Lytechinus pictus: one gene and its partner. The protein of the gene in region 1 purifies or fractionates together with the protein of each later gene. This does not show direct contact. Links are inferred from orthologs where the notes say so. Each region holds a gene or a part of one and is shown in the gene's direction. Other genes may lie near its edges. The genes, in order: ubiquitin-conjugating enzyme E2 S-like and cell division cycle protein 27 homolog.

What was found.
Region 2: the proteins of ubiquitin-conjugating enzyme E2 S-like (region 1) and cell division cycle protein 27 homolog purify together in Homo sapiens (affinity purification with western blotting; 4 studies listed by BioGRID, with this or other methods). This does not show direct contact. The link is inferred for Lytechinus pictus from reciprocal best matches to the Homo sapiens genes UBE2S and CDC27.

Annotation. Positions count from the first base shown.
Region 1 is NC_087254.1:11,969,219-11,977,192, reverse strand, and holds the start of ubiquitin-conjugating enzyme E2 S-like, read left to right. Parts: upstream 1-4,797; 5' UTR 4,798-4,848; intron 4,849-5,067; exon of another isoform or gene 5,068-5,308; 5' UTR 5,309-5,483; coding exon 5,484-5,498; intron 5,499-7,228; coding exon 7,229-7,379; intron 7,380-7,974. UniProt on the Homo sapiens protein: Accepts ubiquitin from the E1 complex and catalyzes its covalent attachment to other proteins. Catalyzes 'Lys-11'-linked polyubiquitination.
Region 2 is NC_087245.1:15,602,420-15,609,730, reverse strand, and holds the start of cell division cycle protein 27 homolog, read left to right. Parts: upstream 1-4,266; 5' UTR 4,267-4,342; intron 4,343-5,780; 5' UTR 5,781-5,839; coding exon 5,840-5,928; intron 5,929-6,389; coding exon 6,390-6,515; intron 6,516-7,311. UniProt on the Homo sapiens protein: Component of the anaphase promoting complex/cyclosome (APC/C), a cell cycle-regulated E3 ubiquitin ligase that controls progression through mitosis and the G1 phase of the cell cycle.

The DNA of each region.
Region 1 (7,974 bases):
AATTACCATCGGGCACCAAGAAGTCAGGCAAATGGGCCCTTATTTTCGCCTTTAGTGTCTACAAATATTTGGAAGGGCGTCAAGGCCATTCTGAGGATATTGGAGGCCATGGGTGGCCTTGGGTTACTTTGAGGCCCTATTAAACTGTTGTTCTAATCACTGTAAGTTCTTATAAGAGCCAAGTAGTGACAGTGTCATAGTGAGTCAATTTATTTTGAGACAAAATCTTTAAAATCAAAGATTTAAAGTGTTCATCATGTTTTCATATGATCATCAATGGATAAAAAAAATGATATTGTTCAGGATACAAAGTAGACAAAGTCAGTGTAGACCAAGTGGCAAATTACCTTTCAACAATCAACAGCATCTGGGGCCCGTTTTACAAAAAGTTGCGATTGATACGATCAATCGCAAGTATAGAAAGCTAGCAAAGTCAATATATAAAATGCATGTTTGTTCAAAAATTTCTGCTAGATATGATGAATAATCATAAATTCATTGACTTCTTGACAATTTGGTGTGTTCTCCTTTGTTTGCAAAGGACATTTTGCAAATTTCCTGTTGAAAAAAATTATGACACTGATGGATTTCCATAGAGTTACCATTGATTGGATCAGTCGTAACTCTTTGTGAGACGGGGCCCTGCTGTCCATATCCTACATGATTTTCGAATTATAAAAGACATACTTTATAGAAAAGTTGTAGTATGGATGCTACCCCTGATATTACAAACTACTTAATACTGACTTAGGACCAGGACCCTCTGCACTGTGGAACAAGTCAGTGCTCTCACCACCCATCTTAAGATTTGGCAGGTAGAGCACTGGTCAGCCGTGATTGCAATTCATGCAAAATGCACCACTGACCAGTAAAAAATTATCTGGATTACCAAGTAAATAGGAGTTTTTCTTGAGAATTGGGTAATAGGCAAAATATGGTGAGAATTTACCATATTTGAACCTACGATAATCCTATAGTAGTTTAATCAATAAAATTAGAAATTATCATAATTTTTTTTACGTAGCACCATAACACCATTTGTAATTTGTTTCTTGCAACTTGTATTTTGAATTAGATAAAAATATGGTCAATGTTGGACTTTTGCACCGCTAGTACGTGTAACTTTTAAATTTCAGAGCCGTGACTTAGGACAATTGTCAATAAAAAAAAAACCCAGAAGTATGCAAGAACTACACACATGTACGCAACATAATATAACATGTATGTATCTATGGCCTATATTTCAAATGTTTTTTATTTCATCAAAAGAAAATAAACAAAACATGAATAATTTTTCTTAAAACAATACTCAACTCGAATATAATTCATTCATAAATCTAATAAAATTTAGATAATAATAATATGAGGCACCGATTGATCTACTTTGTCTATTCAATGGCGCACTATAAATTACCCCGACTTTAGCTCCAGCTGCTAAAGGCGCTTTGTGCATTCAAGGAATTAATTATGCCAGGTATACATTCACCTCACCTGGGCTGAGTGCAGCACAATGTGGGTGAATTTCTTTCTGAAGGAAAACACACTAATCGAACCCACGTCTCACTGATTGAAAGTCGAGTCGTAACCAGTAAGCCATGATGCCCCCACCCCCCTTCCCCCGATGACAACACCTAGATCCAATCTCTGAGTAAAGAACAAAAAAGAAGTATTTGAAGGCGAATTTCCTTTTGTGATCATTGTATACACAGTAACACCCCTCTTTACAAATGTCAAAATAGGATGCGGGGTGTAAATGCATCCCTTTCATGTGCTAAAATTGTGCCCCTTCAAACTTTTCAAGCTGTTTTGTAACTCACAGAAGAGTAGCAACACATTAAAGCATCAGAATGTTTGTAACTTGAATCTTTTTAATAGTGAAAGTAATAATACACAGGTTTGTTTGCTTTCTTAACCACTTAAAGCATCATCTGACAATATTATTGTGTACATAGTTTACTTATACTGTATGGTACATTTATCTGCGGAAGTTCCTCCAACAGTCTTGTACATGTAACACAGCTCGATTCATGAGAACAGAGTACATTGATTAAAACATTAGAGTAAACTTTCACTTTTTCTTTTAGCCAGACACTTGTTTTAAAGGTGTAACAATTTGGGGGTTAGTCAGCTGGGGCCCATTGCCACTTTTTGCCAGGCACTTTTTTTTTTTTGGGGGGGGGGGGTACTTTTCACAACTTACTGTCTACATCTGCAACATTGGAAAAGCTTTAACTTTGCAATGAATGGGGATTTCCAGGGCTTTTTAATTTTTTTTTTACAATGTTGATTCCAGGGCTTATTGAGCAATTCTGGGGTTAAATCGTCCCCAGCTACCATGTGATTTTTGTCTATGCCTATGGCATGAAGAGCTTCGCTTTAATAAGCACATCTCAAAATTCATATGCAAGTCCCTATTAACATATGTATCATTGGTTGAAAATCAAATTACAATTGTTTTCTGGAGTTGTGTTTGATCACAACTATTCATGTAACTGCAACGAGCCCCTAGTGCCACGAGGGCCCCTGGATGGTGGGAGTGTCCTAATAAGCCATTTGCTCTGGACCAACTCTTCACAAAAGGAATTTCTTATTTTCAATTGGATACATGTAGATCAACTCAATGAATTGTTTGATTTTTAAAAAGAACTTCTAAAAGCTTAATCTAGGACATTGTATTTTAATAAAGAAGCCACTGCACCTAGAGACCAGAAGACAAGACTTTCATAGGTTACATTAATTTACAAATTTTAAAAGTTTAACCCACTCATTCAATAAACAAGGTTATGATATAACCTTGTTCTCTGTTAAATCTCCATGTGTGGCTAAATAAGGGTGGCAATGTTTGGCTTATTTTCTCTTTTTCTTTGGGACAAATGCTTGATTTTTTAACACAGACAGTTTCCATAACACCTATTCATCATACAATTTGGCTCTTAAGTAAATTTGATTCTTTAAATTATTTTTTTCTTAATCAAAAATAGAGATTGAAAAATGAAAATTGTCTTGCCATATCAATTTCCACCAATAGAGGGCGTACACAAAAATATGCTTCAAATTCAAGTTTTTGAGCACTCTGGTGAATACACAAATTATTCCCAAGTTGCTAATGAAAAATAAATTGCAACTGTATGGAAATTAGTATTTTTGGTCACAATAGTCCTACCTGTAGATTCCCCACAGGCAGGTTGGTTGCAGTGAGCTAGTGGTTTAACCATTACATTGTCCTCTTTGAAATAACTGGCCATCATCTGACCCCTTGCTAAATACCCACTCATTCAATGAACAAACATGACTAAACTACTTGGTTGATAAATCTTTAAATGGAATATCAAGCATATTCTTCAAAACGCTGCGCGGAACTTCAATGTACAGAAAAGTTTCTGTGAAAAATCAATGCGGTTTATTTTTTTGTGGTTTGTTTTTTATTTGTAATTTTGAAGCTATGATCCTAAATTTGTGAAAAAAGGAAGTTCAAGAACAAAACCACAGATTTCCTGATTTTTAGAGCATTTTTCTGCACCCGCTTCTTAAATCTGAACTAATATCCACCGCATGCTCTGGAAATACATGTATGGTGTGGACACCGCAATTTTAGGGCAATTTTTTTTTAATTTTTCGCTTTCAGTGGGGATTTTTTGTGAGTGATACTGCCTATATGTGTTTGGTGGTGTTGCAGTGATCGACTCTGCTGGCACGGCATGTGAAATAAGTTGACATGTTCAATTTTGGGCAATTTTTATACTTTAAAACTAGCTATCAGGCGGCAATACAATGAAATGATTGAATTTTTCAAAAATTTGTATTCAACTGAGTTTTTATCAAAAAATTGGAAAAAAATCCTGAAAGTACCCATTCTGTTCAAATTTGATAAATTTCATCTCTCCTTTTCATAAGTTTCATACATCATGAGATACAAACAACAACATCAAATGAACACTTACTTTTTCTTCATTGTTACCAATTGTTTACTGTTCATTGAACAATTAACAACTGATAACAATGAAGAAACAATAAAGGCAATTGAATAATAAACAATGACATGTTAAATAGGGCCTAATGTTAAACATTAATATGAATTTGTAAACAAGCAAGACAAACTGCTATGCAAAACCATGTACCAAATCCTGAGAAAAAAGTATGGCTCTGGTAAAGTGAAAAATGGCACTCAAAGCAGCTCCCTAAATTTTTTTTTTTTAAAGATCTATGTTAGATCTAGAATTTTACTTTAGTTTTAAAAAATATATGACATCACTCAATTTTACACATGCACAGAAAGTCACACACCTAATGTCATTAATGACAATTTTGCAATAGGTCTACACCAAAATCAGACGATTCTTGTGGGAGTTTAATCATAACATAAAGCTGTTCATAAATAAGAGCGATTTTCATAAAGATGGTAAACTTTTCTTATGCACTATAGATCTAACACTCGATGAAGTACTAACAGTTAGATCTAACTTAATCACCAATTGGCACAACGTCAACAGTAATTTAGTAAGTAACACTCAGTCATTACAAAATGAAAAAGAAGTTTATGCCACAAACAGCCCCCCCCCCCGACACTTGTGTAAATTAAATGTAACTGGGAGTAGGACGACCATGGGCCATGTCAGACTCATAGCTGCAGCCAGGCCTCGCATGCTTGTGTGAGTGGGCCAGGACCAGAGCCAGGACCAGTCCCAGGCAGAAAGAGGGACGGGCAAGGACGGGGCCGCGATGACTGGCACTGTGTTGCTGCCTGTTGTTGCCTGCGCTCGCAGGGCTGAACTTTGGCTGAGCTGAGCTGATCGGCCTACGTCGCGTCGAGGCCAGCGCCAAGGCAATGATCAGCTCCATCATCTGCAAGTAAGTTTTCTTTTCCATATTTTACAAGAATAACTCAGGTTTTTGGGGTAAGAATACAACATGTTTGACCAAAAAGTAGGCACAAGTGAAATTACAAATTGAACTACATGAGAATCGGCAAAAAACACGACCGAAACTTACCCTTCCTCATTTGTGCTGTGCAGTTTCTGCTTAGCAATACACGGCCGCCATGTCAGATGCCCGGATTAATCACCGATCCCACTTTTGTCGATGACATCACTTTGTGTACAATCCAATTTTTAGTAAAAAGCCATGTAAATATCCAGGAAACAGAGCGAATGAATAAATCCGTCAATATTATTCCAAATACTTCTCATATACATGTATATCTACCGTTATGTATGCATTGTGTACATATAACTCCACCAACTGGATAATAAAAGACAATTTATCCACTCAATTCCATGGTAAATGTGGCTTCAAATGTCTTCTGCTACAGTAACCCGGAAGTGTGAATCAATCTGCACTGAAAGCTGCGCCTGGATTGGTCCATTCGTAATAGCGATGACCTGCTATGACCCAGCTGCTGTTGTTTTTCGTATTTGCAACGATCACCAATTTTATCCTGGGCAAATACACTGGTTTTTGACGGATTTTGGAAACCAATCTTCAGTATGTCACTTTCTGGGGTAAGATAAGATGCTTATATTTTTCAGTATAATTTTTACGTGATTATACAATTTAGAAAATGAGTAGGAATGTAGAACATGATTTTAGTTGAGATGACTTGAAAACCGGCGATTGTCAAAATACGGTTAACATTTTACACGCATTGCCAATACAAGTGTTGTGTATGTAATTCAATTGTGTGACTTTCATCATTGAATTCAGGACTTGAACAACAATACGCCCCCTATTAATTGAAAATTATAGGCCAAATCTAAAGTTATATGAAAGCTAAGTTGGTATGTCAGTTTACCAGAATTTAAACTAAGAAAAAGAGGAAGAACATGAATGAATTTATTATTATGGATGAGAAATGAAAAAGAAAATGAAGAAATTTCATCATATTCAATAATAATTTATAAAAGAAGTCAAGCATGCCAAGTTTAACCAACCTGCGGATAGCCGCTGATCCTCAAATATCGGGGGAAGAACAACATGAGATGAAAGAAGAAGAAGACCAGGAGGGGGAGGCCGGCCGAGCGTGCCGAGGAGGAGAATAGACAGCTGGCAGCCGTCTGTTTCGAGGAGTTTTTTAAACATTTTTTTATTTTTATTTCTCCTCGTACACAGACGGCTCGCTATCGTGCAGCCACCATTAGGGGGTTAACAATGCAAAATCCCCCCGACGTGGCTCATTGATTTTTGTCTTTATTTCATAAAAATATATAAAAATAACTGTACCAAAATAAAGAATATTATTCTGTTTTGGCCTGACAAGAAATGCACCAAAACAGGAAAAATAAACTTAAAAGGGGAAAAAACAGTGACTTACTTCGGCTGTCGTGCAACTTCACTTCCCTGTTTTATCTGACATTAATACATAAACATATGGCCATTGAGTCCCTGTATAGATCGGGCTAGAACTTTGGTGTCTGTATTTGGTGAGTGCCTGAGTGGAGCCAACGGAGTTCAGCGGAACAGCCAACATAACAGAGACTGGTCTAGGAGGAGAAGAACTTAATAATATAACTTAGATGAGAGCAGAGGAGGAGAATGAGTAGGACTTGGGTGAAATTATGAAGGGGAGGACAAGAGAAGAGAAAAAGAGATCAACAGATGAACTTATTTCTAAAGAGTAAAGGAGAAAACAGAAAGAAAAATTGGATGAATGTAGGCTTATACTCTATGAGGTTAGCCTAAATTTAAACGAAGAAAGAATGAAGGAAAGTGATGAGAGTGAGAAAAAGATCAAGACTAGAGTCTAGTTCTTTTGAGTAGGGTCTCGTTTTAATAGAAAAGGCATAGATATAGTAGGAGGATGATTAAAGATGAATAAGCAGGTCTATTAAACTGCCTCAAATAATAATGGAGCCCCCCCAAAAAAAAATGCTATTTTTAATTCATTTTTGGTATAACACTAGATCTCCTAGAATTTTAATCAAAGTGATGTTTTTAGGCTTATTGTAGTCACTACTTAATATTGATCACTTGATTTTTATTTTTTTTAAATGTGTTAGAATGTTTATAGAGGGCCTTTAATACAATTTAAATTAATACAGAGAGAATGGGCCTTAAATCAGTTTAAAAGAAAGTTCAAATGTATGTATGTGTTATTTGGATTGAATAATATTCCTAGAATCTGTTGCCGGAACTTACCCCCCCCCCCCCCATTCAAAAATTCAAGCAGATACTGTCACTGCATATTTAACTTTATATAAGCCTGTGCATTCTTTTCTTCTCTTTCTCCTCACAGACCTTATCCAACGTGGAAAATTTCTCTCCCCATGTAATCCGACAGATAGTGAAGGAGATTGCAGATCTGAAGTTGTCTCCGCCTGAAGGCATCAAGGTGTTTCCTAGTGATGAAGACATCACTGACATTCATGCTGTTATTGAAGGACCATGTAAGCTATAGTATTCTAATTTAATTTTCCTCACCCCCCCCCCCCCCCCTCTTTCTCCTTTCCCCTTCTTTATCAGTTCACATACAAGCATTAAAGTTCAATTCCTTTCTAGGGGATTTTTTTTTTTAAGGGTTGGGCAAGGCCACACTTCTATTGGGCACTTTTCTATAAATTGCAAATGGGGAAATGGAAACGGTCACAAGATATGTCCACGGCCAATATGTGGAGCATCCATGCCTCTCGAAAGGGCATCGAATGGCTTATGATATGTTTTGTTTTTAATATTGTTCATATGGATTTTAAAAAACAGCAATGAAGAAATAAAAACGATCGAATTCCTGCAGACACAAGATATCTGTGACTGAAAAATCATTATTCAATTAATCTTTTGGGGGAGGTTAATGTAATACTAGAATATGGAATAAAATTGGAATATAGATAGCGTTCGTGATCACTTTATTTTTCACATTTGTTAAGCACTAAATAATGATTTTAGGGTGTATTTTTATTCAGGGCTTCATTCTTACAACATACCATAGACACATGTTATTTACAAATGGCAATTTGCAGCTTAGATGTTCTAGAAGTCAAAACA
Region 2 (7,311 bases), on another chromosome or scaffold:
TTATAAGCACAAGTTGTAACCAAAACAAAGTGAGTGCCTTCCTAAAAAATAAATGATGTGGGCGCGAAGCGCGAGCCAAAAATTTTGTGATTTCCAACCTAAAATGTATCGTTTGACTTCAAAAAGGGTATTTTATTTTGAAAAGGGACATTCATGTACATCATTTTGAAATAAGTGCACTCTCCATTTAAAAAAGGCATTTTTTCCTACTGGGATTTTTTTATGTATAGGGGGTTAAGTGCCCCTGCCGCCCCCCGGTTCCGCCGCCCCTGCTGCTAATATAGCCTCGGGTTATAATTTTTATCTAAGTTCAAACTGGTATTAACAAAAATATGTTGGTATGACTGCATTTTATAACGATGGTTTTCTTTAAAATATATATTTTTTACCATTTCGATCCATCACATTTTTGCATTTTTTTGTCCGTCGATATGCCCAGCGCTGAGAGGTCATGCCAAAACGTGATTTTGCATGAAGTACATTCTCTGAACCATCATCGGAACTTCGGAATCACACAGAGATGGAAGACCCCTTCCCCCAAATAGTTCCGCCTAGCTGTATGTCCTCGAATATATATATATATATTTAATAAGACATCAGAAATGCGAAACACAAATTCACGAGTAATGCAGTTTTTGCAATAAAATTTGCAATTTTATTATATATATATCACCATGATAAGTACGTAATTTTATTATCCGAGCACATGCAGCCGACCGAGGAGGAGTGGGTGGAGGGAGAGGCACCTAGGAGACGTCATACTTGTTCTTGTTCAGTATACTACCATAACAAGTTGAAAAGAAAAATGCAAAGAGAAACTTGGAGGGGGATCGATGTTACATGGTTATAACATACAGACCTACGCACCGGTATCATAGGCGGATCCAGGAGGCCGACGTTACGCCCCCCCCCCCCCCCCCGATATTGGCGGCGCAAAGTAATATGAACGAAAGCAGAGGGGGGGGGGGGGTGACAAAATATAAGAGGAAGAATGAATAAAAAAAGGTGAGGGGAATTCAGACTTGGGGAGGGGTGGGAGCCAATCATGTCACTACACAAGTATAAAAACAATTTAGCCCGCGCTTTGTGTTCGCATTGCCTGTTCGATGGAACATATATTCATCTATACCAATTCATTTATTGATTTATTCATTCAGTCATGGTTAAACAGGTTCACAAGTTCAGAGTTATTAGTATATAAAATCATAGTAACAAGTACAATGACAAGGTATAATTCATATCGAAATAGTATGAGACATAAAGAAATATTAACTGATCAATGTAATACAAAACACGGAAACATTGTTGAAGGGCTTATAGTAAAACGAACAAGGGAACTAAATAGGCCTTTACTTATTCAAATTTTTGAGCACCTTATCCGTCAGTGTGCATCTTAATTGTTTAATGATCATATTGCTCAGATCAATTTTCAGGACACAATATACACAGTCCGAAAATAATACCTCACGCTCGCATTTTTTATAGGGTTTAGTACTGTTACGACTATAGATTCCAACAAAAACTAGCTTTGAGCTGCCGATCGATCGGGAAAAATGTGGATGAAAATATTGTTCACCCCGGCCCCGTTATTAGTGAAAGCTGGATCCGCCCCAGAATATATTGTTTAAAAAAAAAGGCATAGGCCACGCGGTATTTGTCATTTTTTTGTGATAAATACATTGAGGCAGTATATTGACAAATAATCACTGGAAGAGAAAGAGCATCTTATAGGCCTATATAACGCACAAAGCAAAATAATGAAGAATGGCGGCAAAGCTAGTTCAATACAAAATGATTTCCTTTTCCTTTAAAAAAAAATGTTACAACACGTTATAATAATGAACAAATCAAAATACAGAACCTGAAGAAATTGATAACGATTCAGTGAATCGGAATCGAAACAAAAATGCGTATGTAAATATAATTATAAAATAGAAATAAAAAACGGGGAAAAAAATAAGAATAGCCCTTTCACAAGCAACCATAATTCTCCCTCCCTTCATACCCTGGACAAGTAAAGAAAAAAAAATACAGCTAGAGAAACGAAGCAAAGATGAAAAGCAAGGAAAGGGAAGGAAGCCGTCTCTCGGTACCTGGTACTCTGCCCAGATATCAAGATGTACGTCTAGGACCTATTCTCCGCGATTTGAAAAACAACGTGCATAACATCACAATTATTATGATGGTCATTTAAAAAAGTTCCTTGGTTGTTTCCAAGTTATTTAAATTGCCGTCGAGGGACTGCGCGAATGCACACGCTCCTACAGGATATGAATGAAAAAGTCGCAAACAGACTCCGCCGTTCAATCCGATACTGTACTGTATAGCCGGTATACAGATCGGCACGTGAGACAAGCGCAGAGGCGATGGATATGAATATTCATGAGCAGGTATTGATGTCATTTGGTCTCAAGGTGGCGCTCTTCATTTTTTATATCAATTTCAAAATCTGCATCAAAAGAAAGCTCACTTGGCAAAATTTCTCTTCTTTATATATTTTTTTGAGAATAAAAACAGTTCTTTTGGCCAATGCAATACATTTTATGGACTCAGAACTTGTTTATGAGTATTTTGAAAAGCGAAGAGTGAAATCTAAAAGAAAGTTTTGAAATAAACCAATGTCACAATTTACCTTTAAGGTCACACCACCATAAAGGGTCTGAAAGCCTAGACTAGTCGAAGTATCGGCTTATGGTCGCTAGAAAACCCCTTCCGCTATCAGCGCTTCTCCCTAGCATAGCGGGAAGAATCTTGACTGCAGTTGCAACGACTTGAGTTAAGAAACACTAAAAATAAAAAGATAGATCTAACGTGAGAGAAACAGGAAGTGAATGAACCGGAAGTCTCGACAACCTTTTGTTATTTTGGGTGGCTGTCGCAAGAACTCTTTCCGAAATTGGTATTCTGAATAATTTGATTCTGAGAAGCATACAGTAGCATGGGAGGTCCAGTGTCCGGACACTTTAAAATTTTGCCTTCTTTTTTGTCTTGACTTTGGATTGCACAAAAAATATGAATTCAGTAGTCTAGATCTAACTTTTTAGTGGTAAGATGGTGGTCCTTAAGTCTGCGCATCTAATAATGAGTGAAGATATATGAATTTCTTTTTCTTTCACAAAATCTTTCAGTTAATAATGTTTGTTATATTATGAGTAAGTGTACCAAATATCTCATAAGAATTTGAAAGAAATATAGGATTTTCTTGGAAAAACCTCGGGCAGTCATTTTCAGATTGAAAAAAAAACGGTACCCCATGTCTGAACACCCATTCACTTTACACACGATTCAGGGATTTGATGAGAAAGGGTGCAAATGGTAGATACATGTAATCTATTTTACATGCATACACAGACAATATTCACTGCAGTGTCATTGCAAATTATAGGCATTTTTTAATGTTTTGTTATATCTCATGTTATGTAAAAAGAAATATAAAGAACAAACAAATCAGGATTAAACAGAACAATATTTTTCATCAAAAACTCAATTTACTCACTGGTTAGAGGTGAGAAGAGAACTTAGAGAAGGATAATAAGATGGGATCCTGATTATCAGGAATAAAGTTGCCTTGTGACAGGCCATCACAGACCGCAATAAAAAATTCCAAAAAAGTGGAATAAGCACAATGATGCAAATGAAAAGGAAAAGATTGCAGAAAATACAGATTTTGAATGATTAAAATCATATTCAGAGATGATGCAGCTTTTAAAATTCTGGACAAAATATCAAATGCCTTTGCATTATCTTTTAAATTGTTTGTCAATTAATAGATGTAAAAATTTATAAAGATATGGGAAATTTTGCTGTCCTTTAATGTTTTAATAGTGGCATTAATTTGGTCAATGTCATCAATAACTAATTTTACAATGTACATGTAATCTACCTTGAAAAGTGGGGTAGGTGACTAGGCGTATGTTTGCACTTTGAACAAATTGCCCTCCACTTCCACAAAGATGCCATGATATGAATTACAATGAATATAGGCCATTTATGCACTTTGGCAGTGCTTATTTATAAATTCATGTATTACATTCATGCTGTCTTGAAGGGGGGGGGGATGGGTGATTGTACAGGCCATCCTTCCCTCTCTGAAAAGGTAAGGGGATCTCCCCCTTCCCCTGGCATATACGGGAGCGAATGGTCACTGCAACTTATTGGTTGCATACATTCATTATGCGCGGTGCAGTGCAAGTCAGTGACTCTCGCATGCAGCACATCTTAATTTCACAATTTTCATGTCCTATTCACGTTTCTTTCCTTTTTCAGGCGGCCATCTGGCAGTGCTTAAACCATTATGCCTACGAAGATGCTACCTTTCTGGCAGAGAGACTTTATGCTGAAGGTATGTGTGTTGAAATACAGTTTGTCAAGATGTAAGGGCAGTTTAGCCCCTGAAATGTACAAAAAAAAAATTGAAAAAGACTCAGTAAGTTGCAAAATGGCCCAGGTAAATTATCGGTTATCGGTGTGTACCTATTTCATTGATTTTTGTCTCTCCTGCATAGCAGAGCGAGACTATAGGCGCCGCTTTTCCGACGGCAGCGTCGTCAACATTGAAATCTTAACCAAGGTTAAGTTTTTGAAATTTCATCATAACTTAGAATTATATGGACCTAGTTCATGAAACTTGGACATAAGGGTAATCAAGTACTGAACATCCTGCTTGAGTTTCAGGTCACATGACCAAAGTCAAAGGTCATTCAGGGTCAATGTACTTGGACCATGTTGGAGGAATCAATATCAAAATCTTAACCAAGGTTAAGTTTTTGAAATGTCGTGTGTATCACTGAAGATCCTGCCTGAGTTTCAGGTCACATGACCAAAGTCAAAGGTCACTTAGGGTCAACAAACTTTGACCATGTTGGGGGTATTTGTGGAATTGTCATAACTTTTAAATTTTATGGATCTATTTCATGAAACTTAGACGTAAGAGCAATTATTAAGTATCCCTGAACATCCTGTGTGAGTTTAAGGTCACATGGCCAAGGTCAAAGGTCATTTAATAGGGTCAACAAAATTTTTATAATGTTGGGGGTACTTGTGGAATTGTCATCATAACTTTAAAAGTTTATAGATCTAGTTCATGAAACTTGGACATAAGAGTGTCCATGTATCCCTGAATATCCTGTGCGTGTTTCAGGTCACATGACCAAGATCAAAGGTCATTTATGGTCAATGAACTTTGGCCGTGTTTGGGGTATTTGTTGAATTGGCATCATAACTTAGAAAGTTTATGGATCTACACAAGTAGTTCATGAAACATAGACATACATGTAAGGGTAATCAAATATGAATGATTATTTTGCACACGTCTCAGGTCACATATCGTGGTCAAAGGTCATATTGGGTAAATGGACATACATGTAGTATTTTATTACACTGTTAAAAATGATTTAAACAACGCTGTTTACTATGTGAATGGCACAGTAGTTGTTTAAACATTTTAAACAAGTGTTTAAAATCTTCAACAACAAAGTTTAAATTCAAATTTAATTATTGAAAATTCAAGCATGGTTGTTTAAGATTTTAAACACTTGTTTAAACTGCTTAAACAACTACTGTGCGATTCACATAGTAAACAGCGCTGTTTAACTTATTTTTACCAGTGTATAATATGAGTGTTTTCTTTTGTGAATAATTATTCAGTAGCTGTTTTTAAAGTGAGCACAGCTGCTAATTCGAATCACGTAATACAGGCGGAAGAAATGGATATTTCTGAAGTGTAACATGTAGACCCATTTTTTCCCCCCTGACCATATATCACATGTTCTTTGTTTTAGTTGGGTCAGATGAGGGTCTATTCCTTCTTGCCACCTGTTATTACCGGTCAGGCCAGCCAATGAGTGCCTATACCTTGCTACAGACCAAAGGCTGTCCGACTCCAGCTTGCAGATTCCTTATGGCCAGGTGCTGCCTGGATTTAGAGAAGTGAGTATTAAGTATGACATTTAGGTACTATAGTTAGAAAAGATTTATGCGAGAGTAAGAAGAATTCAGAAATTCACACATTATTAGTGGTTGTCAGATTACCTATTTTTTATATATCATTATTGTCGATCACCAGTGTAGTACACTATATACCAAGTCAATTTTTGCATAATGAGGATTTGTGTGTTTCATTTTGATTTATTTGCTCATTCATGTTGTTATTCCACATAATTTTCTACAACTTAAGTCATTCGTTTTGATTCATTCCTGAACATGCCTTTTTTTATGGTCAATCATATTGTCTGTAACTATGCACAACACAGAAGTACATATTTTACCAATTGTGGAAACGTAAATAAGATTATAATATGCATGTAATACTTCATTGTAATATAGGCAATTATTTTTACCTTGTTCTATTATTATCATTATTAATTTTTTTTTTCTTTAATTTTTTTAAGGCTATCAGACTGTGAAACAGCATTATCAGGATCACCAATAATGAAGCCCAATACGTGTGATGATGTCGTATCATTATTTAAAGAATCAGCACCCTATGCACTCTCAGTACTAGGAAAATTATGCAGGTAATATGTGGCCCCTGGTAGCACAATGCTTAGCAAGGGTTTTACCCCCCGGTAGTGCTGATTTTCACAATTTATTGCATTGATCATTATGTGCAATCATCAAGTGTATGATTAATTACTAAGCTTTGTGTTATGGGCTTCTGGGTTCCAACCCAGCTTCCAATGCCAAACTTGAAACCACCTGTTGTGGTAATTGTACCAGTGATATGCTGAAAAGTCACTGATAACAAGTTACCATTTTCATCGGGTCCCAGTATATTTTCACAGCTTTGTTTGATTATTGAGTGTGAAATGGAAAGTGATTAATACATGCATGCCTTTTGTTTGAAACCTACCTACCTTTCAATAAAAACAATAATGAAATGAATTATTAACGACAGTTTTATTCATTTAAACCATATTAGAATTTACAGTGGTAATTTCTGATGGAATATTCCCTTATAAAATAATAATATTGTATGAATATTTTTATTACAATTATAGTGCATGTATTTTTAGAGTATCATATTCAGCGAACAAGAAGGTCAATTAGGATGTGTTGAATGTTGATTTTTCAAAACGCAGAACTTTATCATGATCATCGGTGCACCATACACAGTCAAAAATTTAAAGCTGATTTATGTTGATTATCTAAATTCCCCTGTTCCATCAGCGCAGCGTACGGCGCAGTTTGACTTGTCACAAGTTAGGTCAATTCTGGCGCACACTTTTCAAAATAATGTGTAAGCTTTCACTGTAAGAGCCCATTTAAAAAGACGTTTGAAAACTCAATTGATTCAGTGTGGCATTTTTTTGC